Alligator mississippiensis: one gene and its partner. The protein of the gene in region 1 purifies or fractionates together with the protein of each later gene. This does not show direct contact. Links are inferred from orthologs where the notes say so. Each region holds a gene or a part of one and is shown on either strand. Other genes may lie near its edges.

Evidence for each region.
Region 2: the proteins of SATB1 (region 1) and TRIM47 purify together in Homo sapiens (affinity purification with mass spectrometry; 4 studies listed by BioGRID and IntAct, with this or other methods). This does not show direct contact. The link is inferred for Alligator mississippiensis from reciprocal best matches to the Homo sapiens genes SATB1 and TRIM47.

What each region holds. Positions count from the first base shown.
Region 1 is NC_081828.1:151,597,670-151,612,695, forward strand, and holds the start of SATB1 (DNA-binding protein SATB1), read left to right. Parts: upstream 1-8,379; 5' UTR 8,380-8,805; coding exon of another isoform or gene 8,806-8,809; intron 8,810-9,023; exon of another isoform or gene 9,024-9,381; intron 9,382-15,026. UniProt on the Homo sapiens protein: Crucial silencing factor contributing to the initiation of X inactivation mediated by Xist RNA that occurs during embryogenesis and in lymphoma.
Region 2 is NC_081831.1:13,216,811-13,231,760, reverse strand, and holds the start of TRIM47 (E3 ubiquitin-protein ligase TRIM47), read left to right. Parts: upstream 1-7,193; 5' UTR 7,194-7,230; coding exon 7,231-7,857; intron 7,858-13,693; coding exon 13,694-13,789; intron 13,790-14,950. UniProt on the Homo sapiens protein: E3 ubiquitin-protein ligase that mediates the ubiquitination and proteasomal degradation of CYLD.

The DNA of each region.
Region 1 (15,026 bases):
ATAGGTTGTTTTATAATGAATGTTATTTAAAATATATACACACAACCTGTTGATCAATCTCATTACTGAAGTACTCAAGATACTGTATACCACACTATAATTAACTCCTGAAGCAGAGCTGATGATCAATAAACTCACACTCTGGTGAATGGTTAGGATGCATACTATTGAACTAAGGCCCCACATTAAAAATGTCCCATCTATTACAGGAGGAATTGTGTTAAATCCTCTATTTTCACTTCACAGTGTCACCAAGGTGAAAACATAATTGCAGAAGTAAAATGCTTATTTTTATATTGTGACTAATTTCTTCCCATTGTCTAGTAGAAAAAGTACAGGTCTTGCTGATTAAGTTTTGTTGACCAGGTCTTCTATATAAACCCTCTAATCTGGAGCAGGTAATGTATGCTGATGTCATAAGAACATAATAAGTACCATACTGGGTCAGACCATAGGTCCCTCTCACCCAGTACCCTCTATTTCAGTGGCAGAATGGATGCTGTAAGGAAAAAATATATATGCAGTCCCTTGCTCTTCTTCACTTACTGCTTTAACGCTCTATGAAATACTAATGTAGAGGTTTGCACCCCTATCATGTGTCTAGACAGCTCCCAGAAATGATATAGGTATCTGTATTATTGACAAGTATGGCAACAAAAGCCATTCTTGCTCTCAGGACTTTGTAAGTATGCTAGAGAAGCTGATATTCTAGTATTTCTTCTCCTCTCCCAAACATATTTTTGAAATTCTAGTGACACACCCAATGTCATCTAGTTACTTAATCAGAATCAAAATACATATGAGATAGGTATCACTTGCAAAACACAAACCTTTTTGTGCAAGCATTGTATAAGCCAAAATAGATGATTACTGAATGTACATAAATGTAAAGCTGGCATTTACTGCACATATCTTACATCTGTAAAGGTGTGGTGTTTGCTTGGTTTCTGTATTGATTTGATTTGTATTGTCACTGAAAGCAACAGGACATCTTAATGCAACCAAGACAGAGCAGACATGCAGAAGAGGAAAGAAAGAACAGTTGACAGTAAGAAGAGAGATTATACAAACAGAAATGCAACTTTTTGAATATGCAAACTGAAAGCAGGCTGAAGGAAAGAAAAAAAAAAATCAGGAAAAATAGAAAAAAAATGTTGGTACTTGTTGCAATTGCAGTAGGTTGATCTGCCCTCCTTTCTACACAGCAAATGAAAGGCTGTCTGCAGGGTAGGACTGACTTCCAAAGGTAACCAAAAGTATCTTCTGTAGTGATGTTGACTAGAAGGCAAGTATTGTTTAGAACAGTGGGGACCAACCTTTTTGTCCTGCAAAATTAGTCTTACATTCTCCTCAAGCGCCATTCTGATCCTTCTCCTGTCTGATCGTCTGCTTTGCTTTCACCTTCCATCCCTGTGCTCCCTGCTCAATTTGCTACTTTGCTTTCAACTTCCTACCCTATCTGCTGCTGTGCTGCCTGTCCCCTCCCTAATCTATTGCACTACACACAAAGGCTGCCCATTCTGCTTGCGGCACCTGTGCCACAGATTGACTACCCTGGTTTAGGAAGACTGTTGAAGGGACTGAGATGATTTGGAGGATCAGGGAGAAAAACATGGCCTTTCCAGAAAGGAACAATTAGGAGAGAAAGTCTGTTTGAAGGAATGACAACTGAACCTATTACTGAAGGTGCGTTAGGGATCTCAGTGAATGAACTTTCAGGAAGACATATCATAGATTCATAGATGTTAGGGTCGGAAGGGACTTCAATAGATCATCGAGTCCGACCCCCTGCATAAGCAGGAAAGAGTGCTGGGTCTAGATGACCCCAGCTAGATACTCATCTAACCTCCTCTTGAAGACCCCCAGGGTAGGGGAGAGCACTACCTCCCTTGGGAGCCTGTTCCAGACCTTGGCCACTCGAACTGTGAAGAAGTTCTTCCTAATGTCCAGTCTAAATCTGCTCTCTGCTAGCTTGTGGCCATTGTTTCTTGTAACCCCCGGGGGCGCCTTGGTGAATAAAACCTCACCAATTCCCTTCTGTGCCCCCGTGATGAACTTAAAGGCAGCCACAAGGTCGCCTCTCAACCTTCTCTTGCGGAGGCTGAAAAGGTCCAGTTTCTCTAGTCTCTCCTCGTAGGGCTTGGTCTGCAGGCCCTTGACCATACGAGTTGCCCTTCTCTGGACCCTCTCCAGGTTATCCGCATCCTTCTTGAAGTGTGGCGCCCAGAATTGCACGCAGTACTCCAACTGCAGTCTGACCAGCACCCTATACAGGGGAAGTATTACCTCCCTGGACCTATTCGTCATGCAATGACTGAGACTAACCTCCACCATCTTACTTCTAAAGATGGCATTAGATCTAGAACAATCAGCACAGAATGATGTAGGGTAGTCGAAGGACCACAGTGAGAGCAGTAATCTCCTTCAAAAGGAGTCATTTAAAATTTCCTTCTACAGATGTACTAGTGTAAAGAAAGAATCTGGAGGCTCAAACATTGAGTAGATAAGGATAAAACTGTCAAATAAACTTAAACTAAAATAGATAACCATTTTATGTGAAACCATACTTATGAAGCAGTGTGTGTGTGTGTGTGTGTGTGTGTGTGTGTGTTCAATCCTGATGGCAACTGGAAGGTTACAGTCTTCTCATGTCATGAAGCTACTAACACAGCTATGAGCAAGTCTTGGTACTGAACAGTATTTTGACTGCTTTAGCAGCGTTACAATGTGAATTGATTATAAAGGCTGTGAATTGATTATAAAGTTGCTTTTGGGTGTAAAGGGAAAAGGCCTGACATATGATGTTATTTTTGGTTTCTGGCTTGCTAAGTTTAGATCAACCGTAGTGAAAGCAACAAATCATAAAAACGATTAATTATTGTGAAATACATCTCATTGCTGTTGCTTTAGTCATATGCTCAGAGCCAGGAAAGAGCAAGATTCATACTAGGAACAAATTGCTTGGGAACAATTTAAGTAATTCAACATATTAACTTTATTAAGAGGTTTTGTCATTTAGAGAGACTTGTTTTGCGCTACTGTCGGGCAGAACATGAATCCAAGTTACACTTACAGATATTTAATCTAAGTCTAGGCAAAAATGTGGCCTTCTGTATCATCCAGAGTTCAGTATTATACCAACTTCACATACCTACTGAAGTACTGTGTTATCTTGTGAACAACTGCCCCTAAATAAGACATGCACCTTATTTTTAGAAGGCAGAATGCAGAAATTTTTTTTTTTTTTTCCAGGATCATGGCCAACTGTATGCCATAGATAGAGCAAGTCCTCCAGGGAAGAGTGTGTCCAGGAAGAGTAGCACCAGGAACTTTCTGGTGTAGCAGCTTGTCTCCTGCCATGCCACGCTTCCTAGACACTGTGGCTGCTTCCAGACATTAAAAAAAACAAAATAAAACAGCGCTTTATTTTAAAACTTGGCACTTTCCAGCTCATGCCCAGAAGAGACTGTACGTCCAACATCTGTATAGATTGGGTGCTTCAGCGGGGCCAAAAAGCCCTGCTGAAGCACCCAATCTACACAGACGTTGTGGAGCCAGGTTGTAGTAACACACTGCTTCCAGTAACATGTTTTTTTTCTGCTTTGGGATTTTTTTTTTTTTTAAACATCTGCCAGCAGCATACATTTCCAGAAGGACTTACTTTAGGTCACACAAAGTTAGGTCCCAGGCCCTTGCAAAAGGCAGTAGCAAGGCTATTACTTCTTTATGGTAAGTAGTTTGTTGGGTTTTTTAATAAGTTCCTATAAATAAAGTGTTCTTTCCACATCACGAGCCTCATTAAAATACTACCAGCAGCTCATTTGCTGCTTCAGGCACTAGCTACAGCTGTGAGAGGGTTAACACAAGACTCCACCCGTTCAGTTTGCCAAACACACAAACTGCAGCCATCTTGGCAGCTGCATGGCATGCAGTGTCTCTCCACGCAGGCTCCTTTTCCAGCAAAGGAAACAGCTCAGCTGCTTAAAACATGAGCCCCAATTTTAAGGGGCTGAGTTTGGGAGGAGGTGCATGTTGTATGTGAGAAAATATGGTACCTCTTCTGGCTCATTTGACTGTCTCATTTCACACCTCAGAGGCTGGGGAAGAAGTGGAGGTGCAGGGAGAGGACTGCATGAATGCGCATGCCCAGATTCGACTCTCATTTTCTCACCGGCTTTATTTATACGTGCATCTAAATACCTGACAGCAGCCTGTACACACTTAACTGAGGATCTACTGGTTTATCACATCTAAAATGGCATGCCTATATCTGTATGTCCTCAGATTTGTCATAAGAGAGTACTAAGACGGGGTACAGATTGACCTAAAGTACTTTGGCAAACGCATGCTATTATGAATTACCCCTTCTGAAAAATAGAATTAAAGAAAAATATTTTACGTTAAGTTCCTTCTGACTTCAATAATTTCTACTTAGTCTCCGTCAGATAGGTGATCAATAGGAAACTTTTTGAATACACATATTTATACACATCTTTCATGAAAAAAAATCCCATAACACTCAGGGGTATTGTGGACTTCTGACAGTCCCCAGAGAACTCTGAATCCATAAACTAATGAATGGATTACTATGATTCATAAGCCATTTTCATCTGTGACAGATAATCTTGCTCCAATACCATTAGTATTATTTAAACCAGAACTGCACCCCCTTTCCCTCAAATCAGCAGTTTCAAATTTCAAAAGATAAAATGTGGCTGTCAACATGAATAAACTGATAAATATATATGAACATCTGATTTGTGCTGTCTTGAAATTCCAGACTTCAGGGATGAGCAAGACAAGTAGAATATTCTGGTAGTTTTTGCAGGACACTTGGCAGGAGAACATTGGAAAATGGACACTAAAATTTCCTTTTGCAGCATGTATAAAAGCAACATGTCAGTGAAATGAAAGTTATATCGTACACCTGCTTTTTAGGCATGCCATCTGTGCTCTGTCATATCATAATATAGCAGTGTAATGGCACAGCCTCGATGACATGCCACAGATAAAGAGAATGCAACGTACCTCTTGCTCCATTGATGTGAATGACAAGACTCTGTAAAGGTTGCTGCCTAATATTGCAAAGAATAATATTCAAATATATTATATAGTGTTAGTCTTCTGTTTTTCATTATTTACCATATTATAAATATCATAATATCTTCAGCATCAGATGATTAGGTTGCTTCTGAAGGATCTCTAACCTGCTATACAGGTCAAATTAGTACATACCTCTTACAGACCACAGGATGATTTTGCAAACCTATTTGTACTAAAGTTATACTCAAGCTGACAATCTAACCATTACATTTTATTGGTCCATATGTCTGTCATGATAATAGAAATTGTTTAGGATAATTCAAGGGTTCACATAACCTGTTCTGCTGATCCAAAGAGTTTCAAATGTTAAAAATTTCAACATTTCTTGCAAACCAACAGGCATCCTTTTCAACCTTTTAATTAAAGCTGAACAGCAGTTCAATCCTTGTACCAGTTACTTATCTTGGCCTACAAACCACCAGTCATCTGCAGACCACATTTTGGGAACCACTGCAATAATTAACAAAAAGTTCAGTTTGAAATGATGATATGAAAGATAATCTTTCAGAACAAATCCTAGTAAGCATCAGATACTGCTTTTCCCACCTCATTTTTTTTTTGTCAAGCAAGAGAATCACCATCTCAGTGGTTCTCAAGCTTTTTAGACTCAAAGTACCCCTCAGAAAAATGTCAGCTCTTAGTTTTCGCTCCGTTTTGTGACTAGAAAAATAATACAGCAATTCTTCTGCTACAAAGAACTTGGAGCAGAACAGCTCCCATTGGATTCCTATTTGCAATCCTGAGGTTTATCTTGTGAATTATGTTTGCGCCTAACAAAGCTAAAGCTGCAGGGTTCCCCACAGCACCCTTGAAAGGATTTCACAGCACGCCTGTGGAAAATCATTGCATTAATCCTTTCTGTATGTTGAAGACACCTAGAATGAAAAGTACTTAAAATCTTACACAAAAAGTAAGGTAACAATGATCTTCTGACATGTTCATCTGCAAGTGCTTTCACAGCTATATGTAGCCAAGATATACTTGGACATACCTGCTCATGAAAGTGAAAACATCTTGGAGCAAGTCTTTACCATTACAGCAGAGATGTAAATGTTGGTAAGTGATTTCTTGTTTCAAAAGCAAACTGTCTGACTGCAGAGTTGGGGGTCTGTTGCAAAAGCCACCCAGTTTAACTTTACATAGTTATCAATATCGTGTACAAGGACACAAGCTCTAAAGATCCTCGTTTTCACACACACACACACACACACACACCTCTGTTACTAAAATAACAAGAAAATGTGTATATCACAACTCTCTCTTAAGATAATGCTCAGGAGGAAATCAAATCTAAACTGGGAATCAGTCAACTCCTCAATTCTAATCTCTGCATCTGACTCAATCTATGGCCGCAGACAAATAGTTTACGCTTTCTGTTCCACTTTTTCACGTGCATTTGGTGGATAGGTCAACGGGAAGTTACATGGATTCATTATTTGATTACCAGTATTCTGAAGACATGAAACGCTATCATCATTTGGATCCTCTGACAGTGGTTAACATAAGTGAAGGAGATGTTTAATAAAGAGAAAATGTGCCACACATGGAGCGCTTATCGGACAATCATCTCCAAGAAGCATCTGAATGAGTCTGTAGAAGTGCAAAAATGCTCTCTGCTTTGGCTCTCTTTATATTATCCTGTAATGTAACAAAAGATTTCAAAAGCCAAATTTCCAAGGTAAAAAACAGGGGGGGGGAACAGATCTTGCATTTAAGGTGAAGATAAGGGGATAACTTCAGCCCTTGTTTATGTCCTATATGAATGGGAATCTCCAATAGTCACTACGAGATGCTGGCAAGGTCAATTTTATTAATTATTACTACTATTGTGTAATCTTTGGGCTCCGTGTTCTCTCCCGATTAATGATTATTTACTAATGGTGTTACAAGCTTACAGCTTCTCCTAGCAATAAGCAAGACGGGTAACAGGTCAGTGTAGTAGGGACTTGTTAAGGAAAGATACCTCTGTGTAAACACGATGGTCTCTGTCATTTTGGAGACTTTCCCTATGCCCGAAGAAGGGCGTTTGTGCCCAAAAGCATGCCAAGAGCAATTTCTCTTTAGTTGGTCTAATAAAAGATTGCGCATCTACCCAAAGACCCTTGTCTGCCTATTTCAGAGATGGCATAGTTCTGTTCGTTTCTGAGCTGAAAGATCAAATTGTTAACCAAGTAAAAATAAAGGAAGCGAGTAGATTTGAGGGTCAGAGTCCCCCAGCATGCTCTTTTCACAAGCTTCTAGAGTAAAAGAGACATGTTTCAGCTTTCAGGAAAGCCAGTATTCACTGCCAGCTTCACTTTCCGGGAACTTGACTTACAAACGGTGCATCAGCTAAGAAAGGAAGGAAGGTGGTGGGGGAAGAAAAGTCTCTCTCCAGGCAGCAGTTGCATGGATGAGAGCATTCAGGCACCAAAAGTTATTTCAGGGCACTCTGTGCAAGCTCAAACACCACTTAAGAGATGGGGAGAATGAAAAGTGGCTTCTAAAAAATACTGAAAAATTGCTTCAGCGGGCTTAGAGTTGCAGGGGTACAGCTCGTGGCAAGAGCCTAACAAGTGAAATCTTTGCAAGGAGAGGAAAAAAACCAAACAAACCCCCAAAACAACAAAACCCACGAGCAAGCAAACAGAAACACAATCCGAGACCCATGCCCCCGCCCCCAAAGGAAGCAGGGGGCTACCAGCTGTCGGGTTCATCCACGCGGGTCTGCGAGCCTTCCCCGGGCGGCTGCTTCCCGCACAAGTTTCCCGGCCCCGGCCCGGATCCTCCCAGTATCGATAACCTTTGTCATGGCCCTTTCGGAGCCTGTTCCGCTCGCTCCTCCCGCCCGGGGTTGGGAGGGGGGAAGCAGCTGACAGCCGAGCATGTGGTGGATAAATATTGAAAGAAAGTGCGCCGGAGGGAGGGAGAAAGTGCCGCGGAAGGGGGGGAGCAGAGAGAAGCGGCGGGGCTGGGGCGCTGCTGGGAGCGAGCAGGGCGGGAAGGGAAGGGAAGGGAAGGGAAGGGGGAATAATAGCATGAAACCCCACCGCCACCAGCCCAACAACAACAGTGATTAGCTCCTACCCACCTCGCCGGGGCTGGGAGGGGATTGTGTGTGTCTCTCACCTGACTTCCTACTTCACGGGGAGGGAGGGGGGGAGAGGCAGAGCCGCGCACACCCGCCGCTCTCCCCAAGTCAGCCCCCAAAACACGCCGGGCAGGAAGCCGGCGGGAGGGGACAGACAGACAGACAGACAGACGGGCGGGCGGGAGGGCACCAACCGTCCTGCTGCTGCTGCTCCGGCCGAGCCCGGCTCTGGCTGCGGCCGCGCGCCGAGGGAGGAGAGCGGCGGCGGCGGCGGCGGCGGCTCCGGCTCCGGCTCCAGCGCAGGCAACCTCCGCCAGGGGGAGAGGCGAGGCGAGGCGAGGCGCTGAGCCCCCCGCGCCCGGGGCTCCCGGCCCCCCGCCCCGGGGCCGCATCCAGCCGGGCCGCCGCCGGCTCCTCCTGCGCGGCGGGCGGTGTAGCAGCGGGGGCGGGCGGGCGCGTGCGGCTCCCCCCCTTCCTCCTCCTCCCTCCCCCACACCCCCCCCGCTCGCCTTCCTTTAAACGCCCACTGCGGATGGGTGCGAAGCCAACTTGAACTTCAGTGCAATTAAGTTCGCCGGCGCCCGGGAAGCCGACGGTGTCGCCCAGCCTGGCCCGCGCTGCGCTGCGCTCCCATGAGTGAGTGGCCCTTGCCGGGGCCGGGGCCGGGGGTATCCCGCACCTGCCGGGCCGGAGGCGCCGGGCCGGGGGGAAGCGCGACTTGCCTCCAAAGTTTGGCAAAGTTGTCGGGGAGGGCTCGGGCCGGGCAGCGGGGTGGTCCCGGGGCAGCCGTCAATTTGCCGCCGGCGGCCCCGTGGCAAAGCCTCCTTCTAGCATCCCTCGTCCTCCGGCTGCCCTGCGCCGCGGGGGATTTTTTTTGTGTTTTTTCTTTGCCCCTCCTAAAATATATATTACAAAAGGAGCTGGCGATGCTTTGTTCCCACCGGCCGCTTTGGGAGCGAAGCCTTTGCTCAGTGGCCGGGGGGGAGGTCCTGCCCGGTGCCTCCCAAGTTGTCCCAGCTTGGCCCCTGCGAGTGCTGGGGGAGAGCCTTGGACCGCCGCAAACTTGGCTTGACGCGTTGGCCCCCAGCTCGTCAGTGGCAAGGAGTGACGAGGGGGTGGGGGCAAGAATGAGCAGTCAGCTGCATTCAGTCCATCTGCTGGGAAAGGGATCCACCACAGTTTGAGATCCCAGGACTCTCAAGGTGCAGGTAGGTGGGAGAGGAGCAGCCCTGCTTTAGGCTGCTCCATATGACAAGGGGGGGTGACTTTTTTTTTAGCAGCGGTTCTTTCCACTTTCTGTTCTTTGGGTCTAGGCAGGTTCATCGACTTGTCTGCTCCAGGCTGCTGGCAAACATTCGCGTGCAAGCTTACATTTAAAAAAAATTTTTTTTGACAAATGTGCAGACAGGACTAGCAGGAATAGGCATCTGAAATATTAAACAACCTAAGCATCTGTTGTGAAACAAATTTAATGTATTTACTCTGTTTTCTTTCTCGCGTTGTAGGGAAAGGTTACAAGAAGCGTAAAAATTGAAACCAGAGTTGAAGGGAATGGGTTGCATGTTTCAGGATCTCCTTAAGGGTTTCACACAGTCACCAGAGATAAAGGTGTTAACTCAGACGCCTTATTTCAAAACACAACTTGAAACAGGCTGCGTTCAGTGCGAAGGCAGGAATATAGTATAGCGCCTATCATTTGTATCATACTGTTACTATTACTCCACTGTGTTCGTGTGGATGAGGTTATTTGTATGACAGTCCTAAATTGCTATACACAGTTGTATTTTTTTAATGTTAACATATCTCTGTAGTTCTTATTCTTATTAGTTTGCTTACCAAGTGGAGGCAACGTCTCATTATCTATTGGCTATGACTATATAAGTAAAAAGCAAGCAACAAGATAACGCCTGCATGCAGGTTTATAACATATAACAAACAGCATGCATATGGATATAAAATAAGGTGATGTAACAAAAATAAAATCATTGTCTACGCTTGTACCCACTCCTGAATACATTAGCTAATGAAAGAGAAATCACTGACTCCAAGGAATTCCTCTTTGCCCTGTAATAAGAGTAGTCTAAGTTAAAGAAGAACACAGAAGCATAAAGTCTCCAGAAAGCCTGTATAGTTATTTTGGGAATCAATGCATTCCTTCTCTTTTTCCCACAAGTTCAAATATGTAATAAATAATAGTTCTTTGTATGCAAAATGAGTTTACTGAGGCAAAAATATTTAAATGGAATGCATGTTGTCCATACACTTTTAAGAAGTAACAGTTCCTTTCTATATTCTTTGTTATTGATTTTTAAATAGCAAAGTAACTATCTAAAAGAGTTTCCCCAGCTCTTCTCTTGTCATTTTAGCTTCTAAAACAAGTCCTTAAATACTGCTTTTTTCTGAGACAGACGTATGAAACAGGTGAAGTAAGCCTGTGATTCCATGACAGCACATAGTGCTTTGCAAGAATAGGGAAAACGGAGAATCTGCCAAATCAGCCAAAGCATGTATTTGAATGTGATGTAGAAATCATTTTGGTCTGACAGATCATGGTTTGCAGTGTAGGCCCTGGAGGTCAGCTGACAAACACCTGTCCTTATTATTATAGAGATCTTTTGGTTACAGATAGTATTAAACTAAAGACAGTGTGCTCTCTTCAAAGCACCATAGTGATTCTCTAATGTAAACTCCCAAGTGGGATGTAGGCAGGTGCACCTCTTCAAACCAGAGAAGTGTCCGTCTTCTGTGCAGTTAAACCTTGAATAACCACTAACTTCTGTTACGTTACTGTTTCAGTTGGAAAAGGGTTTGAAATCATATGACTTCGGTTCATTCCATCTTGAATTAATATCCAGTATTCTTCAAAAAAAAAAAAAAAATTTAACTATATGAACTAGTTGTTTCTTAAAAATATCCTGTTGACCCAGTTTCTTAACTGAAAACAATAAGATTTAACTCACAGTCCTCCTTAGGCACTTTAGTTATATTTGGAGAATTAGTCAAAGAGGTTACTGTGTTTTAATAAAACTAATATAAAAATATAAAGATCATCTTCTGAATCTGCACTAAAGAAAAAACTATAATTGAAGGTATACTTTTGAATAAAAAATCACAAAAAAGTGATTTTCCCCTCCCCCCCAAATTTTTTTTTCATCCTGTTTCTAGGGACGATGCTAGATACTGCTAGCACAGATACTACTGCAGCATTTTATCACCCTCTTGTGCATACCTGGCATTGCTCTCTCTATATTTAATAAATATCCACTGGAACCACAACTTTCCATCTAGAACAGTTTTAAACATAACTAGAGCATTTTACTTCCTTATAATTTACGTTAATAGATGACGAGTGTATGTACAATCTCCTTAGAAATCATTTTTTTTCCAAAGGGGATATTTTATTTTCAGTTGGGAACTAGATTATAAGAACAAAATAACTCAAAGCATAGGCAATTCTATATATCATTTTATTTTTTATTATATTATGACGATTGTATGATGCCTTCATTAAGAGCAATGGGATGAAGAAATTACAGACAAGCGGGTGTGTTTTACTTGAAACATTTAAAGTTTAGGGATGCTAAAATGAATGTTTTTGGTAAGGTGGTTTGATTATCTAGTATTTTTCATAGAATTTTGGCAAACTAATTTTAATAGAAAAGTGCAAATCATTTAGTATGGGAGGACATATTTTTCAGGTAGAATGGAAGTTCTGTTTTTGCCATTATGGGCATCAGGCATCAGTAATCTGCTTCTCTTGTGGAATGAACACTTCCTACTTAAAGCTATCATGCACCTACTGTTTATTTACGCTGCATTAAACTGACAGCACGGCAATCACAGGAAAAATATTACTTACTTTCCTGAAGTAAATACCAGTTTATAGGTTAGTACATGTATTTATATTCCTGTCGCCACTAAATAATGGCTCTGTCTCCATTTTAATATCTACCTGTGGTGTTATCCAGGGCAGCTGACTCCCGTGTTTGGGGAAGGGGGGGGAAAAAGTTTTATTATCATGCCACACAAAGAGTAACTTTAAAGAAAGATGATTCCATATTCATTTTTGTGGCAGGCAGAAGCCAGCATTAAAGAAACGGCATTTAGTTTTACTGGGCATATTTAAGTTTAAATAGTGAAAATATATTTCCTTAAGAGGATATGCCTCCCCAAGCCACTTAAATTGTATATTCAGACAACAGCAGATAAGGGCAGAAGAATTTTATTAATAACTGAAAGCACATATGTGTGTGTGATGAAAAATGTGTTGAAAATCTGTCACTATATAGTCTAGTATATTTTTTTTTAAACTTTGCCATGAAGTTGCTATAGTTTATCAAAAAAACCCCAACCTGACACAAATGTATCTGTTTGACTGTTGAACAACTATAGTGCTTATTGCCTTGTTATACTTAAACGTTGTAAGTTTTACAAAGCTACTTGCCACTTACGTTATTTTTTAATCTTTGCTTCATTGCCTGTCTGATGATAGTTTTAGTGAAAATGGCTCATTGTTTGAAAAGAGCATAATGGCATTCTCTATCAGACCATTTTGATTATGTTCTTTGATAATGAGGCCAACTTTTTTTTTCATTTACCAAAATGGTTAGATCATATGTCCATTTCCATAAGAATGGTACTAGCAAGATTAATTCCCACCAACATGACCACAGTCTGTAATTGTCATAACAAAGAGGGCAGTGGTCGCTTCTGAAAAAAAAAATGTAGGGGGTTTCCAACATTTACCATCCTGTGGTATGCAAGATTACCACAGTTATCACTATTACTTCGGTCCTTGATCAGTATCGGTTTGCTGTTTGGCAGGTGTTGACTTTCTAATGGCTTCTACAACATACTGCCTTCTGTGTGTGCAGATCTCAACATCCATAGCTGAAGCTATCCACAAAGGTTAAGTGTCCATGTAGAATATCTGAATTTAGATCAATTATAGAAGTAATTCACTTCAGAATTCATATAGTATTATAACATGTCACTTGTTATTGAGTGTTTTGAATGATACATATTTCTCTTTAAACTTGGTGGGCCTGACTCTTCCCTCTAGCATACTGATGAAATAAGGAGTAATTGTATTAAAGTCAATGAAGCCACATTTATGTAGAGCAGGTAAGAGATCAACATTGGGTCTTCATAAGGGGTGAATGAGATACAAACACACATTACTTAGTGCTTTTGAACTTCTGCCAATTATACCTTTTTTGCTTATTTGAGATCTCTTTTTCCATTCCTGAGTAAATAGCATAACATTTTTTTAGTATGCAGGCCTATTTATTTTCCTTCTGTTGTTCTATAATACCTTACCTTTGATAACACAGTTTTATATAACTGTAGGTTCATAAAATAACCCATCTTCACCTGTGTCAATGATTTTCTTTCATGAACTGCAGTTCATTTAGACAGTGTGATCTGATTGTTTGCAAAAGTGGACCTGGAGGCACCAGAAATATTCTGTCGGAAAGATGGTAGTATGTGCTTCATGCACCAGCTGAGTTGGACCGTTACAGCTCCCAGCTGCTGCCTGCTCCACCTCTTTCCCTTAGCTTATTATAAAATGACCTGAGGAATAGAAGATGCTTTAAATCCAGAATGCATCTCATCCTCTCAGCATCAGGATGTTGCTCTGGCAGCAAGAACTTGGCCAGCAGCGTTTGTGTGTAATTCCTCTTGTTATTCACTGTAGCAGTAGTGACACATCTAACCACAGGGACTGTCTTAAGGATAACTCCTTAATCCTCTCCTAGTACTTAAGAGTACCAGAATGAGGGCCAGACCTTATTCCACCAATTAGACATCTAAGAAGCACTTACACGTTTTAGGCAATCCTGTGCCATCCTGCCAAAGTCCCTGAAAAGATACTTTTGTAAGGTGTAGCCTGAAGACTAAGTCGCAAAAAGCAATGAGGACCCATCCACCCCTTATGTTAACAATTTTTCAGGGACTAGAGCAGGGTGGAATAGAATTGTGCTTAGAACCTGCATGGATAGAATAGTCTGGCCCTGAATTCTGTTCCCAACTCTGGCACTGACCAAAAGCATTACCTTGGGCAAGTCACTATAGCAACATATTCAACATGCCTTTACACAATGCGCACAGAATACGATTTTCGTAAGTGCTGAGTCTTCACAAATCCAGTTGAAATCATGGAAGACAAAGCTGCTTAACATCTCAAGTCAGATGTATACTGAAGTCCTGTTCTTCCTATCTGCAAAACAGATATAATAGTACCTACTCATCTCTTAGGGATGTCGTGAGGTTTAATTCATTTCTTTATTTTTGCAAAGGACTCTGAAATCCTTGAATGAAAATGCTATACTGTAAAAATGCAAATTAGTAGCGGTAGTCTGGAAATAAAGGCAAATGAAATTTCAACCCAAGTATACAATTATAATCAAAATTTAAATAAGATTTTTTTTATAGTGAACAGCCAAAAGTTTGTCTTTCTTTCTGTTTTTGACTGTGAAATTTTTTATTTATTTATTTATCGTAGTTGAGTCTCCTTGTTGAGTGTAAAAGGTCCTAGGGACAATTAAAAGCATCTTAAAAGTTGAAAAATGATAGTTTTAGCTTTTAAGGATTCATTGTATCACAATAATACTGCATGCTTATTAGTGTTACTTGTACGCTAGACATTTAATTACAGTCTTTGTGAGACATGTTATCTGTGTATTAACCATCACATAAAAAGAATGATATATTCTCTTACATACAAGCTCTTGCTTGCCAGTCCTCTTTTTTAAGATTATAGATTCAGGTCTGTAATCCAGAGTTTTCACATCTTTAGTTAGATCAGCTCAATTTCCTACATTTTTTTTCTGTAGGAACAAGGCATTTGCTG
Region 2 (14,950 bases), on another chromosome or scaffold:
AGTTGTGCCACTTGTGTCTGTAGCTGTAGCCATGGCTTTGAATTCTAGCCACCTGAATCTACAAAGGAGGAAACTGAACATTGGTGCTCTGACAGATCCTTCCAAATTGCTGGTAATCAATTAGTTCACCTTTTGTTATACACAAACACACACACAAGAGCAATCAATGAGTTCGTCTTGGTTACAGACACACATGCACTTTAGTTAATCTGTAAGGCCCCTGCTACATGTCACATACGTTATGCAATTAGCTAGTTAATCATGCAATAAACTTAGGCCACAAGTGCAAAGTAATTATCACACAATTAACTGATTAATTAATTAATACATTTAGACCAGCCACATGTGCCAACTAATCACATCCATAACAAGAGCCAACCAGCTATGAAGTTAGTGCTTGAAAATTTCATAGATTTCATAAATTCATAGACATTCGGGCTGGAAAGGACCTTGGAAGATCATCGTGTCCAGGCCACTGGCCCAGGGGCGGGAAGCCAGCTGGGGTCATAGGATCCCAGCAAGAAAAACACCCAAATTTCTCTTGAAGGCGTTCAATGTAGGTGCTTGAACCACCTCTGGCAGCAGGCCATTCCAGACCTTGGGGTCTCAGATAGTAAAGAAGTTCTTCCTTATGTCCAGCCTGAAACAGTCTTGCAGGAGTTTATAACCATTCAACCTTGTCATTCCTTGGGGCACTCTGGTGAACAAACATTCCCCCAGATCCTGGTGAGCACCCCTGATAAACTTATAGGTGGCCACCAGATCACCCCTGAGGTTGCGGTCTTCCAGGCTGAAGAGTCCCAGGGCTCTCAGCCTCTCATCATAAGGTCTGTTTTCCTGACCTCTGATCATGTGCGTGGCTCTCCTTTGCACTCTCTCAAGCTTCTCTACTTCCTTTTTGAATTGTGGAGCCCAAAACTGGACGCAGTACTCCAGATGTGGCCTCACCAAGGCTGAGTACAATGGGCAAATGACGTCCTGGGATTTGCTTGAGAAGCATCTATGGATGCAAGCCAGCATTTTGCTCGTTTTACTAGCTGCAGCATCACATTGAAGGCTCATGTTCATCTTGTGGTCAATCCTGACCCCCAAGTCCCTAGTGCTAGTCAACGTAGCACTGCTGAGCCTGTAGACATGCTGCAGGTTTTCCTCCCAAGGTGGACTTGCATTTTTCAGTGTTGAACACCATCAGGTTCTCATCCGCCCATTTCATGAGCCTGTCAAGGTCAGCCTGGATCACCCTTCTGTCCTCAGGTGTGGATGCTTTACCCCAGAGTTTGGTATCATCAGCGAACTTGGCCAGTCCGCTTCTGACTCCAATGTCCACATCATTAATAAAGAGGTTGAACAAAATAGGTCCAAGGACAGAGCCTTGAGGGACCCCACTGGTCACAGGCAACATGATGATTGACTTCTGTCAACCACCACCCTCGGGGTCTGACCACAACTGGCGTAGCCCGAGACAGGAGGATCGAAGAAAACACCACCTACGCCCCCAACCCCTTAAGCCCTGCTCCCAAATCCCTGTAGCACCTCATGACCCGGCTGGGAGCACTCCTAACTGTGTCATTGGTGCCCACATGGATGAGGAGCATAGGCTAGTGGTCAGTGAGCTGGAGGAGTTTTGGGGATCTTCTCCGCAATGTCTCGGATATGGGCTCCCAGGAAGCAGCAGACTTCCCAGGCCAAGGGGTCGGGGCAGCAGATTGCCCCCTCCGCCCCCTCAGGATGGAGTGCTGTGTAACAGCTCTAGAGCTGGTTTCTAGCCAGCTTTAATTTGAACATGCGGCAGGGCCCTAAGGAGCAAATCTACCCTGCCTTCTGTTTGAGGGCTAAGCCAGCGCCCACAAACTGCAATGCTGTTCCTTTGGACAGTGAGGGAAGAAGTGTTGGGAGAAATGTTCAGCTTTCTGTTTGTTCATGCCCACTTTCAAATGGGGAACGTGTAAAACCAGATTAGCTTCCCTATTCCACATCAGCTGATTCTGCTTGTTGCTTCTGCTGCAACTTGTTTCTCGCTGGAGAGTTTGCATGAGCCGAGAATGGTGATCTGAGTGTCCTAGCAGATCAGAATAGCAGCTGCCCTGTGAGGAAAGACTTAGGAATTAGACTAAGCCAAGATCAGGCAATGAATAAAGACAGTCAGCACTAAATTAGTTATCTGACAGAGCACAGGCAAGCTGGTTTGGAAAGGCTTTTTAATTTGATCAGGCTGCAGGGAACAGAAATAATTTTCCTGTGCCCTATTCATCCCACAATGGGAAGCGTTTTAAATACATGGAGTTCCTTGGAAAAGGTGACCTTGTGTTACAGGAACCCCTCCAGTGAAGTACCTCAAAGGGAAATCATGAGCGGTACCTGAGCAAAATATCCAAAACATTATTTTTTTTTTAATTCTTGGGCATGTGACCAAGAAGGGAATTATTTCTGCCTCAGACGCTGCCAAGTGCTATTCTGTTATACTTGACTTTGCCCCAGGCAGCAATAAACAAGAGCAGATGACAACTATTGTTTCTGCAGGTGACAGGACTGAGGCAAAAGAAGGCAGTGTTTTATCAAGGAATATTTCACTGATTTTTTTACATGAATGGTTCTCCTAGTGCTTCAGGGATGTATGTGGTACCCGTGTTGGTGTGAGACAAAAAGAAATGTAAAAATCTAGAACTCTTGGTTCCAAAATGATACCTTGTCTTAGACCAACTGAGAAATTGCAAAAAATATATCTTTTTCTGCAAGCTTTCAGGCTCATGCATCCTTCATCAGGCTCAGGGAAAGCTCAAGATAGTCAAAAGTCCGCACATGTAGGAAATAAACTTCATTTCTGCGCAGAGGAAGCAGAAGTTGGACAACTGTCCCTCTGGGTCCACGAGAGTCTCTTTGTGAGCTTGCTCTTTGTTATTTAGATCAAGCAGGATTTCTTCCCTGGTGGTGTCAAATGGCAGGCAGGGAGGTGTAGAAATCGTTCTTGTTGTTCAGCAATGAAGTTTATAATCCAAAATCGGCTAAAATTTTGCATCTTCCATGTTTCAAGGATGTATGTGCTGGCATGTATCTCCTCAAATAGTTAAAAGAAATTAAAATCTCAGTGATTTTACTGGTCCAGACTATACAACGGGTTGCATATGAAAGGCAAACATGGGGGAGTTCAGAAGAGATTTGGGGACCTTAACAAGAGAGTGTTTTGTGTCCCATGCAACACATGTCGTTCAAATCCTGTGTTCAGTGATACCTCGAATTCTTGCATTGGTGCTGTGATGTTTTTCAACATGTTGCAAAGCACTGATACTTCTTTGCAGCTGTTTCAAAGAGACGGGATGTGATGTGCCAAGCTGTGACTAATCTATGGGCAAAGCCCTTCAGTGAAACAAAATGGAAAAGCCAACTTGATGCAACCTGTGTATTACAGCACAAAGCTTTGACAGTCGGTGACATTTTTGTTTCAGTCTCAAGTCAACCCTAAGGGAACCTACAGGAACCAAAATCCAAAGGGGTCGATGCTAAATGCCTCAATTCTCAAAATCTGCAGCTGTTGATTCTTGCATACTGTGGTTGTGCATGAGTTACTTTATGAAGTCAACATCTCAAGTAAAGTGTGTATTGAATAAACTAGGCCTCTAAAAGCTTTGAAGGGATTTTCATGTAAACAAGCATTCTGATAATGGATTTACAAGTGTCCTGGGCTGGTCAGAGGGAAGTGACCAATGACCTGAACATGGGAGTCAATTTCCCACGAGAAAAACAACTTAACCACAAAGCAAGAAGAGGTTTGCTTAAGAGCCGATGCAGCCCTTAACTACTCCAGGAAAGAACCAAGTCAGCGTTTTCCACTACATTTCGGATGCCGCTATGCAGTCTTTTGGGGGAAAAAATGAGGAACCTCGTAATTTGTCCAAGTTTTCATATGAAGCATAACCCTTCTGCTAAGCACCTGTCAGCAGCAACAAGGACCAGGTTCAGTTTTGGGGGTACTGAACATATTTTACTTTGGCTCGAGCCCCTGCTCAATGTACCTGGGAAACACTAAATGAATCACTAGGGTGTCCAATAAAACCAACAGCCTTTCTCTCACAAGCAGTATGAACACAAACCCCATGATTTATTACAAACACCAGAACACAACATGCAGTCAAGTAAAACAAAAACACTGTCCTGGTTCAAACTAGACCCTGTATCACCCCTACCCCTATTGGGGAGCCTTCGACCCCAGGCTCAGCAGTCCGAGAGTAGGGGAGTCTCAACGCAAAAGAGGTTAGTCCCTGGGAATTTGGGTGCATCATCTCCCTCGCCGTCACTGTCCGCTGGGGTCACTAGTTCCCTCTGTGATGGGAAGGGCTCTTCGGTGAGATTTTTTTTTTTTTAAAGGAAAATTTTTCGTGTTCCAAGTCAAATCAGCCAAATCAATTCCAAATCCATGAGTCATTCAAGAACCGAATGTGGCCCTACTATCAGCAAACATCCTCCACCCCCATCTGGGGCTTCAGATGCTTCTAAATCCTTTGGCAGGCATCCTATTTGCAGGACCAAGCCCAGAAGTTTGGGGTTCGGATGCTCCCGAGTTTGGCTTGCCCTTGGCCGTATTCCCGCAGAAGCAAGCTAAGGAGTCTCCCATTTCCATAAAGTCAGCGTGTAGCTGAGATCCTCCCACTAGAAGCTGGCCAGTGGGAAGCTAACTCTGAGGCTCTCGTAGGGAGCCCTGTCCGCAAGCAGACAAGGCTGCAACCCTCCACTACTCAATGCCATTTTAATTGCATGACTTTGGTCAGGGTAGTGAACTGATATAGCTCCACTGAGCTAAAAGAGAGAGAGCCCTCCAGCCGAGGTGGCCTGAACCTTAAATCGTTTTTCTGACCTCATCACAGGGCCCCAATCAAGAAGCAGCCTCTTTCGCACACTGCTAATGAAGACCAATCAATTCAAGGGGGGTCACCACTCCAGGATTTGGCCAGTCACTAAACTGGTTTTATAGGTTCGGTTGAGAAATATTAAAGCAATGCTCTGGGGTGGTGGGGTGGGGTTGGGAGGTGGTCCTCTCCAGTCCTAGAGGAGACACAATATACAACAATCACACAGAAAACATGATCATGCTTTACAGCTGAACAAGAGACACAGTGACATGAAATGCTTTACAACACAAAATGACTTTGTACATTTTGGGTGTGCTATATTAGTATCAAAGATGCAAAGCATTAGAAATGCCATCCTCTGCCATAAGATGAAGCATGTTTTGCATTCAAAAGCTTGTCTAATTCCAGCCCACCTGGTCTAATAAAAGCCATCACCCTAAGAAATCCTTGCCTCTTCCAGAGTTCTTGGACCCTCACAGCTATACCATCACCCTAATGCCACCATAAATGTTCTTGGCAGCTAAAATGTTGAACTTGCTCAAAACCCATCTGAGTTTCTGGGAAAAAAGTAAGCTTTTGTCCTTTCTTTTTTGCTTTCTTTACATTCAGGAGTATGTTAGCATTGCCCGTATCCGATTCCAGGGAAGAACAAAGTTTTTCAAGCATGTGAAGACATATTTGTGTTGTGTAGTGGCTCATTCTCAAACAGCTGGCAGGTTTTGCTTTTACAGGTTTCCCTCGCTTTATGCAGGTTCTGTATGTGCGAATTCACTGTTATGCAATGACCCTTTTCATACCAAAAATTCATTATATGCAAGGCAAATTCATTCTTATGTGGTTGGTGTAGTGGAAGTCCGCAGTCAGCTGAGAGCCACGAAGCTGCCCAACAGCAGCGCCCCTGGCCACCACTCAGGGCAGCTGGTGCCTGTGCTTCTGGAGCTGCAGCTGCCTTGGGAGTGGCGTGATGCCATGTGTGTCCTACCACCAGGCAGGCAGGGGGGCGCAGCCCAGTGGTGCTGTTCCTGGGGCAGCTGGGCACAAAGCACAGTACACAGCAGCAACCGCCTCTGCCAGGCTGCAATCCCAGCTGCATGCACGCCCTTCCCCACCCCTTCTGCAGCCACCTGGAGCCTGCAGCCCCGTGTTTGGAGGGGCTGAGTCCCCTTCACCCCAGCCATCCTGTGCTTACGTGCAGTCTGCTGTTGGTGAGTACCAAAACTGTCTTGTAAAAGTGGTAGAAATGGGTCTGGGGGTCAGTATGTTCGAGGTCTTGGGACGTATCCCTATTTGTCACATTGTACAGTGGGGTCCCTTTATGCGAATTTGAGTTATGCGCCGTTTTCCATGAACACATCTACATCATAAAGCAAGTGACATCTGTATATGGGAGTTGAAGTCCTGACTGTGGACAGTATTGATCTAAGAGATGTCATCCATGTTTTCCTGTCTGCTGAAAGTAAGAACAGCCACATTCACTGAAGGTGGTGGCTGCTAGTCCCAGATCTTTGGGATAATGAAACTTGAAGGGGACTGGTTGCATTGGTTGATTTTCAAATTCTTCATCTTGTTTCACCCTTGCAACTATTGGTGGTAGAGAATCAGGGGCATTTGTTTTCAATCGGTGGCCTTCAACCTCTTTAGACTCAGGGCTCCCTTTGGGTCATACCCGCTCTGAGCTCCCACTTGCTTTCAGGACTAGGGAGCCACACTGGAGCAATGTTTCTGTTACAAAGTCCTCAGGAAGCCCCTGCCAGCGCCCAACATTTCTAGATGCTCTGGAGCCCCGTCAGGGTTTACCTTGTGAATGGCACTGCAGAAACAGCGCTAATATTGTGCGACACCCTTAAAAGCATCTTCTGGCACCCGGCTGAGCGTGGCTGGGCTCAGCAAACTCTTGGAGCGCGCTCTCGCAATCAGGAGGGTCTCCTGCCTCCCCCGGGAAGCAGCCCTGCCTTCAGCCTGCCAACAGAGCATCTGGTTGTTTTTATAATGTGCAGATCGACCCTGCCTTCAGCCTGCTTGTCGGGGGGAGCAGGAATCTCTCCTGATATAACTCCCCAAGAGGCTGCTTAGCTCAGCCATGTCTACACCCTCCTCCCCAGGCTAGAGGGATGTGTGCGGACACATTCCCACCTCCCACCAGGGTGCAAGGATGTGTGTGGACTGGACACACCCCACCCCCCAGGCTAGAGGGATGTGTGCGGACACCCTGCCCCGGCTAGAGGGCTGTGTGGACACCCCGCCCCGGCCGGGAGGAGGTGAGTCCCGCGCGGAGGTGCCTGCTCTTTCCAGAAGGGAGGGGAGGGGAGGGGAGGGGAGGCGCCGCCCTTGCTCAGCCCGGCCCCCGATCCCGGCGCGGGCGGGCGGGCGGGCGGCAGGAGGCGGCATGGAGGGCGGCGGCCCCCCTAGCCCGGCCGACGGCCCGTTCGCCTGCCCCATCTGCCTGGAGGCGCTGCGGGACCCGGTGACGCTGCCGTGCGGACACAACTTCTGCCTGCGCTGCCTGGGCGCGCACCGCGACGGGCCGGCGCCGGGCGCCCCGCGCTGCCCGCTCTGCCAGGAGCCCTTCCCGGCCGGGCTGCGGCTCCGCAAGAACCACGCGCTGAGCGAGCTGCTGCAGCTGCGCCGCCCCATGGCGCCGGGGCCCGAGCCCGAGGCGGAGCCCGAGCCCGAGCCCGGGGCCGGGGCCGGGGCGCAGGCGGACGCCGAGGGCCCGGTGCTGTGCGACGTGTGCCCGGCGGGGCAGGCGGCGGCGGCGGCGCGGTCGTGCCTGGTGTGCCTGGCCTCCTTCTGCGCCGAGCACCTGCAGCCGCACCGCGCCAGCGCCGCCTTCCGCGCGCACCGCCTCGCGCCGCCGCTGCGCCGCCTCGAGGAGCGGCTCTGCCGCCGCCACCTGCGGCCCCTCGACGCCTACTGCCGCGCCTGCCCCGCCTGCGTCTGCCCGCTCTGCCGCGCCCAGGACCACCGCGCCCACGACGTCGTGCCCCTCGAGCAGGAGCGCGACCTCCAGGAGGTAGCGGGGGGCCCGGGTGGACGAGCTGGGGTCCGGCGAGCCCTGGGACGCAGGAGCTGGGAGCCAGGGGTCTGGAGGGACGGGTTGAGCTGCACCTGGAGAGCCAGGGTTTGGGGATCCTGGCAGAGCTGGCACAGGGAGCCCTGGGATGGAGGATTGGGGCTGGGAACCAGGGATTTGGAGGGACAGTTTGAGCTATTCCTGGAGAGCCGGGATCTGGGGGTTTTGCAGAGCTGGTGTGGGGAAGCAGGGGCTGGGAGCCTGGATTCAGAGGGACAGGTCAGGCTGAGCATGGAGATCCAGGGTCGTTGGCAGAGCTAGGGTGGGGATCCCTGGGCTTGGGGGATCACCAGAGCTGTGGGGAGCCAGGGGACTGGGAACTGGGATCCAGGGATCTGGAGGGACAGGTTGAGCTGCACCTGGAGAGCTGGGATCTGGGGATATCAGCAGAGCTGGCCTGGGATGGAGGGGCTGGGAGCTGGGATTGAGGGGATCTGGAGGGGGAGCCCTCCTGAGTAGGGGAGGTAGGGAGCTGGGATCCAGAAGGACAGGTCAAGCTGCTTGTGGAGATCCAGGATCTAGGGGTATGGGCAGAGCCGGCGTGGGGAGCAGGGGCTGGGAGCCAGGGAATCTGCAGAGCTGATGTGGGAAGCTCTGGGCTGGGGGAAGCAGGGTGCTGAGAGCCAAGATCTCGGGTGTCTGTAGAGTTGGCATGGGGAGCCCTGGGCTGAGGGGAGCTGGGAGCCTGGGGATCAGCAGAGCTGGCTTGGGGAGCCCAGGGCAGGGCAGGACTTGCAAGCTGAGATCAGAGGACTGGGTTGAGCTGCGGGTGGAGAACAGTCCCAAGCTGGAATGGCAGAGGGGCTGCCGGAGGATTGCGGGGCAGTGGCAGAGCCGCGTGTTCAGAACAACCTTGTTGTGTGGGGGGCCAGGGCTGAGTGGCGTCTCAGAGATGTAGGCGGGGAATAACCCCAGGGTGGAAGGGCAGAGGGGCTGTGTGTTGGCACTGAGGAGCATGGGCAAGGTCGTGTGTAGGTGAGCTGCAGCTGTGGGGAGAGGCTGAAATGCATTTGCAAAGCAGTGTGTCCTGACATCCCAGCACTGGAGCTCAGTTCTGGATTTGAGGGGAAAGGATGCTGTGGGTGGGGATGGAGGGATATTCATAGAACAGCCTTTAGGTGATTCCAGCACTGAAACAGCATCTGGGATCAGACAGCGGGTCAGGAAGGAGACGGCAGAGGAGCTGGGAGGTGGCATAATCAGAATATCAGTGACGCTGCTGGAGCAGCCTTGAAGAACAGTCTGCAGGAAGCCGAAGGGCTGGAATATCCACTGAGTTTAAAAAAAGACTGGGTGGGCTGGTTGATTCCTTCAGTTTAGGATCAAAGTCTGGCCCCTTGTGCTTCATGGAATTAAAGTACCCAGCCCTGGTAACCCGCAGTGTTACACTGTAGGCAGTTCAGCATGTAGGTGAGACTCTTTCAACAGCCAAGGGAGGACTTTGCCTTCAGGGGAAAAAAGTGTGTCTAAATCCCAGAACAGGCTGCGCTTGTTAACTTGAAAACAGGGCTCTGTCCTGCACAGTCTTTTGGCTCCACACCCAGTGAGGGGAAAAGGCCGCGTTCCAAAATTCAGGGGCAGAGAAGTTTTAAATTAAGAATAACAACCATTTCACCGGGCTACTGCCCTCGATTCCTCAGGAGCTGCCAGACACTTACATGTGCAAGAGATGTGGAGCAGGGGCTTGGGGAGGAGGCAAACTGGGGAGATCCCTGTTTCTTCTGGAGATCCCAAGCCAGATCCATCCCTGGCATCACTCCCGTGCCTTGGCTGGGAGGAATTTTGTCCCTGCACGGCTCTTTCTCAGGTCCTTTATTTCCTTTGGCTCTGCTACTGGATTCCGTTCCTTGCTCTGTTACGCTTTTGTGTTCTGTCAGCCGGGGCTTTTTCCGTCACTCCCATTCCCAGATGCGGCTGAGTCATCTTCCAAATTTTCACTCAAGCTGGGCCTGAGCTCTCAGTCTCAGTCTGGCTTCTTGGCAGCGGTGAGGAGAGTCCCTGATGTCAGAGAGAGGTAGTTAGCTTGTGACCAAGTTAGTCTCTACATGCTGCCCTGTCTGATGTTGGAGAAGGGCAGAATTGAACCGGTGGGCGGGCAGGTGCCCTCTGTTGGCTAGAATCAAAAGTGTCTAGCAAAGATCTTTTATTGCTAATGCTTAATGGAGAGTCTCCTGCAAGAGTGTGAATTTTGTCCTGGACACCAGAGGAAGAGAATTGGCTTTTGCAACAGTTGTTAGGGTGGCAGGGATTTGGTTTAGTATAGCAGGGAGGCGTTAATTGGAATTATTCATTGTACTGCAGCAACATGTAGCAAGCATTCTCATGGACCAGCTCCCCATTGTCCTAAGCTCCATGCAGCTGCAGAGTAAGTGTAGCCCCTGCCCCAAGGAGCCTACAATTCAAGTCTAACTCCTATTTCAGTGGGTTCTTCAGCCACTGTCCTGTTATGGAGAAGTCTTTCTGCCTTGATTATCCATGGCTGAGTGCTTCCAGCATGATTTGCACTGGTAGGCAGTTGATAAAGTCCAGACACAATTCACTATCTTACATAATGGAAGCAGCTTTCTGTTACTGAACTCGAGGACAATATATGAGCAGCTTTTAGTTCAAAGAGCCAGGAGTTGGCAGATGGATCATAACTAGGCTCTGCCCTGTTACCCAGTGCTGAGGTATAGGTAGGTTTTTTCAAGCCAGTGGCTTTCAGTCTTCTCATGGGGGTTGCTCCTTAGTGGGCCCTGCATTGCTCAAGTATCCCCCTCTCTTTCATGCATCAGCACATAGTATTTTACATATGTTTCCCTTTTGTTCCAATCAGGACCCTTTATGTTATATCCAGTTATTTTCTGACCACGTTTACTGATTAAACAGCATCCAGAAGCAGCTTGACAGTTCCTTATTTTGGAAACTATCCATTTCTGTACAGCTTCAGTGAGATTTTCTCCCTTATTATAACTTTTGCAAGTCAAATAGGATCATGGAGAAGTAGGGCTGGAAGGGACTTCCAGAGCCCATCTAGTCCAGCCCCCCGCCAGAAGCTAAGATCACCTCTATCCAATCCATGCCATACCAATCCAATGTCCAACCTATTAGTAAAACTCTATGCATTACCATTGAGGTATCAAAGGGCTTTGCAAAACAACAGCAGCTGTTTCATGCAAGCCTAGATCTTAGCGCCTGTTCTGAATGCCAAGTAACTATGAGGATCCCATTCAGCTTAGCATAACCACCACTTTAATGGTACATGTTCTCATGTGTTTTCCCTACGCAAGTCTAATTTATAAGTAACCACATAGCACGCTTCAGAACACAGTTTAGTTTACATGAGCCTTAATTGCTCGTTACCCAACAGCAGTGGAAAGAACATTAAAAAAAGGAGAGTCCAAGAAGCTGTCAGTTGTAGGCAGACTATACACTTCCCACGGGACCTAGCATGTGTAGGCAGGCTGCTTGGAGTTGCTGTCTACTGGATGATGTTGGCCCTTGGATGTTAATGTAGTTACTCACTGTGAATGGCCTTAGAGCATGGGATAGGAGGCCTGATATTGCCAAGGTGTGGCTTTCGCCTCTGCTCAGAGCTCCAGAGGGTTAGTCAGAGACAGCACCATGCACTGGAGGATGGGGGCGGTGGCAGGGCCGGCTCATGGACATAGAAGTGGCAGCCAGCAGCTGAGATGTCCTTAAACAGTCTGGAGCATTGTACACGTTCATGTCGGCCACCCTTCCTCTCCCTCCCAAAGGGTTCTGCAGCCTCCCCAGATAAGATCTCTCCAAAGTTCTGATTTCCTTGCTTCTTCGGCTGCTGGCACACACAACGCTGTTGATGTGGTCTGGTTGGCGGCTGGCTTTTTCCTTGAAGTGCTCTTTCTGTGCTGCTTTCGATATGTTCAGTGGTTATGCAAACCCTCAAAAAACTGTTCACATGGAGCTGAGGTTGCTATATGGCAGAAACCCAGGCTGCTTCCACCTCTCCAGCAAGGCAGAGCATCCTTCTCTAAGCTTCAGCCCTCTGATTGCAGGAAACATGGAGTTAACTTCCTCTCTGCCATTCACTTAATGGAGCATCACCCTGACAACTCGATGCACAGAGCTAACTTTAGAATGGCAGGAAGTGCAGAAAGAGGATGGTGCTTCTGATGTGGCGCACACACATGCTTAGATGCATGTGTTTTGCAGTGAAGATAATGCTATTTTAAGGAGCAACGAGAGGCTTTCTTCTACATTGGTTGGGAGCGATCAAGAATGACACGTGCCAGCTCTCAAAGGGTGTCTAAAGCATGTGGCGTTGGCATATGGCTGCAACACTTGTTCTGTATTTAACAGAAGTCTTGCATTTGATTTCCAGGTGTTGTTTAAATGGAAGGATGTTAAAGGTGCAAGGAAGATGGGGGCAGTAGGACTCTTGATAGCTAGAAGCTGAATGACAACCCCCCCGGCAGGTCTTAGCAATCCTGTCTGATCCAGAAGCCATGGCAACACTTTCAGTCTTTCTTCTGTCCCTTCTACACTTTCTCCTGTCCCATGACCGTCTTTCCTTCAGGTCCCACCATATATCCCTTCTCACCCATTGTGGGGCACCAATACCAAGTCCTAGAGGAGGAGGACATGGGTAATGTAGGTGAGGTGCAAGAAGAGACGGCTGTTAAAGGAGTTGCCTGTGCCTTTCCATCTCTTGTTTTCGCCTCCTGTCGACTCTGCTGCTGCTTCTAGTCTGACAGGGGAAGGAGGTGCATGTTGTGTGTGGTTGGCACAGAGCTAATTGTATTGCTCGTGCTTAATGGAGAGTCTCCCGCAAGAGTGTGAATTTTGTTCCTGCTGTTGTCCTGGACACCAGAGGAAGAGAATTGGCTTTTGTAACAGTTGTTAGTGTGGCAAGGATTTGGTCTGGTGTAGTAGGGAGGCCTTAATTGGAATTATTAGTTGTATTGTGGCGACATCATGCTACCCTGCCCACTCCAACAGCCTCCACCCAGTTATTGCCACTTCCAGAGCAATCCTGTTTCACCTCCCCTATAAGTGTCCTTCTCCTCCCAGCTCCCTGGTGATGGGCCTGGCAGGTCATCTCCCTCAGCCAGTGAACATAGGAGTGCAATGGAACATCACTTGGTGTTTTCCAAGCAGTGAGTCAGTGCTTGTTCAGAGCCCTTCTCGGCAGTGAAAATGCCCTCACTGGCTAGTGAGCAGTGGCTAGGAGTGGACATAAGGTGTGAACGGTGCAGCTGGTTACCTGTTAGCCTGTGAAAAGGCTCCTTCCAATCAGGCAAACCCCTTGGTATGCCAGGCTTAGACTGCCTTGCCACAGTGTTAGTTCCCACACATGGTTGCAAAAATGAAGCCCAGATAGCTTCCTTGTGTCCCAGCAGAGCCCCAGTCCCATAGACAGTCTCTAGCACAGGCTGCAAGTCCATGGGTGTCTTCAGCATAGCTGCTGTTTGAGTTAGAAATGAGCAAGAAAGGGCTAAGCTCCTGCAGGATTTGGGGAGGCCATTGCTTCAGAATCCTCCCACTCAATTTGTCTGAAACTTCGTAGGAAACTTTTCCCTTAGCCTCAGAGGCATCCTCCCTATTTTTCAGCCTGGTAGATTTTGATTTATAGAATTTAGAGGGAGGGTGAGGAGCAAGGGTTAAAATGAAAACAGAGTTGTAAGCTGAAATCTGGAGGATGCCTGTGGATCCCTGCAGACAATCTCTCTCAGAGGGCATGGGTCCCAAACATGCTTTCAGGTGTGACAGCTAATGGACCTGTCAGTAGTTCTGTTTTCCTCCTTTCTCTTGAAAGGCCCAGCGACCAAAAATCCTGAGCGATGTAGAGAATCAGCTGGATGAGCTGGGAGTCGTCATTGCACAGGCTAGGAAGACTGTGGAACTCATCAAGGTAAGAGGACCTTGCCTCAGGGGTAAAGCTGAACTTGAAAGATCTGCTCCTGTCCACCTCCCCTCTGAACTTCATCCTACAAGCACCCTCTGCTATTGGAAATAGGCAGGTCAGAGGTTGTCTTCAGGACACAGCACAACTCCCTAGTACCAGAGGTGTTTTTTTCATAGACATTAGGGCTGGAAGGGACCTCATGAAATCATTGGGTCCAGCCCAAGGGGCAGGAGGTCAGATCACCGCATCCAAGCATTTCTTAAAGGTATCCAGAGCAGGTGCTTGCACCGCTTCTGGGTGGAATCTATTCCAGACTCTGGAGACTTTGACGGTAAAGAAGTTTTTCCTTATGTCCAGATCAAAAGAGCTCAAGTACTTTGGAACTGTGGTGATGATCACCCTAAATATCTGACTCCCCAATATCCATCTGATAGTGAGCGGCCTAACATGATGCATGGTCTCCAATCCTGGACAGTGCTTATATAGGAGTGGAGAAAAGCCACTCTGTGAATGAGGGCATCAGTCATTAGCTGATGCAAAGATGTCCCTCCCAGGAGGTTTGCTGTTAGGGGTGGTTCCCAGAGCAGTGTTGTTCACAATTCCAGCCCTACATGCCTAAGTTTTCTGCGGGGCAGTCACTGTAGGATCAAGTTGTCTTTTACCCATTCCTCTTTACTATTTCCCAGTTTCCTGCACTCTGGGTTACTGATCTGTTAGGGAAGATGCTGGACCAGCCTCCATAGATTTCAGCATCCTCTGTATCTATATGTGTAACAGCAAACCCAACCAGAGGAGAAAATACTGATGCGCCATTTCCAAGTGGGAGGGGCCAGGGAAGTGCGGGGTAAAGTGATTAAAATGACAGATGCAACAATACTCTGTGATTCACAAAGGAGCACAGTGGGAACCATCGGGTTCTGTTCCTGCCTCTGCTGTGACTCACTGGCTGGCCTTGAGTGAAAACCTTTACCTCTGTATGGCCCCATTTCCCCATTGATAATGTGAGAGGTATTGTGTAGCTCAGACCTTGCCCGTGCTGATTGAGGTGTGTTTTGGACACCCCTGAAGCTAGGCCAGTGTAGCATGTTGCACTTCAGCAAGTGGTGACTTGTAATGTGCAGAACAGCTTGGTGCAGACAAGAACTCGGTGAACTGGGCTGCTTGTAA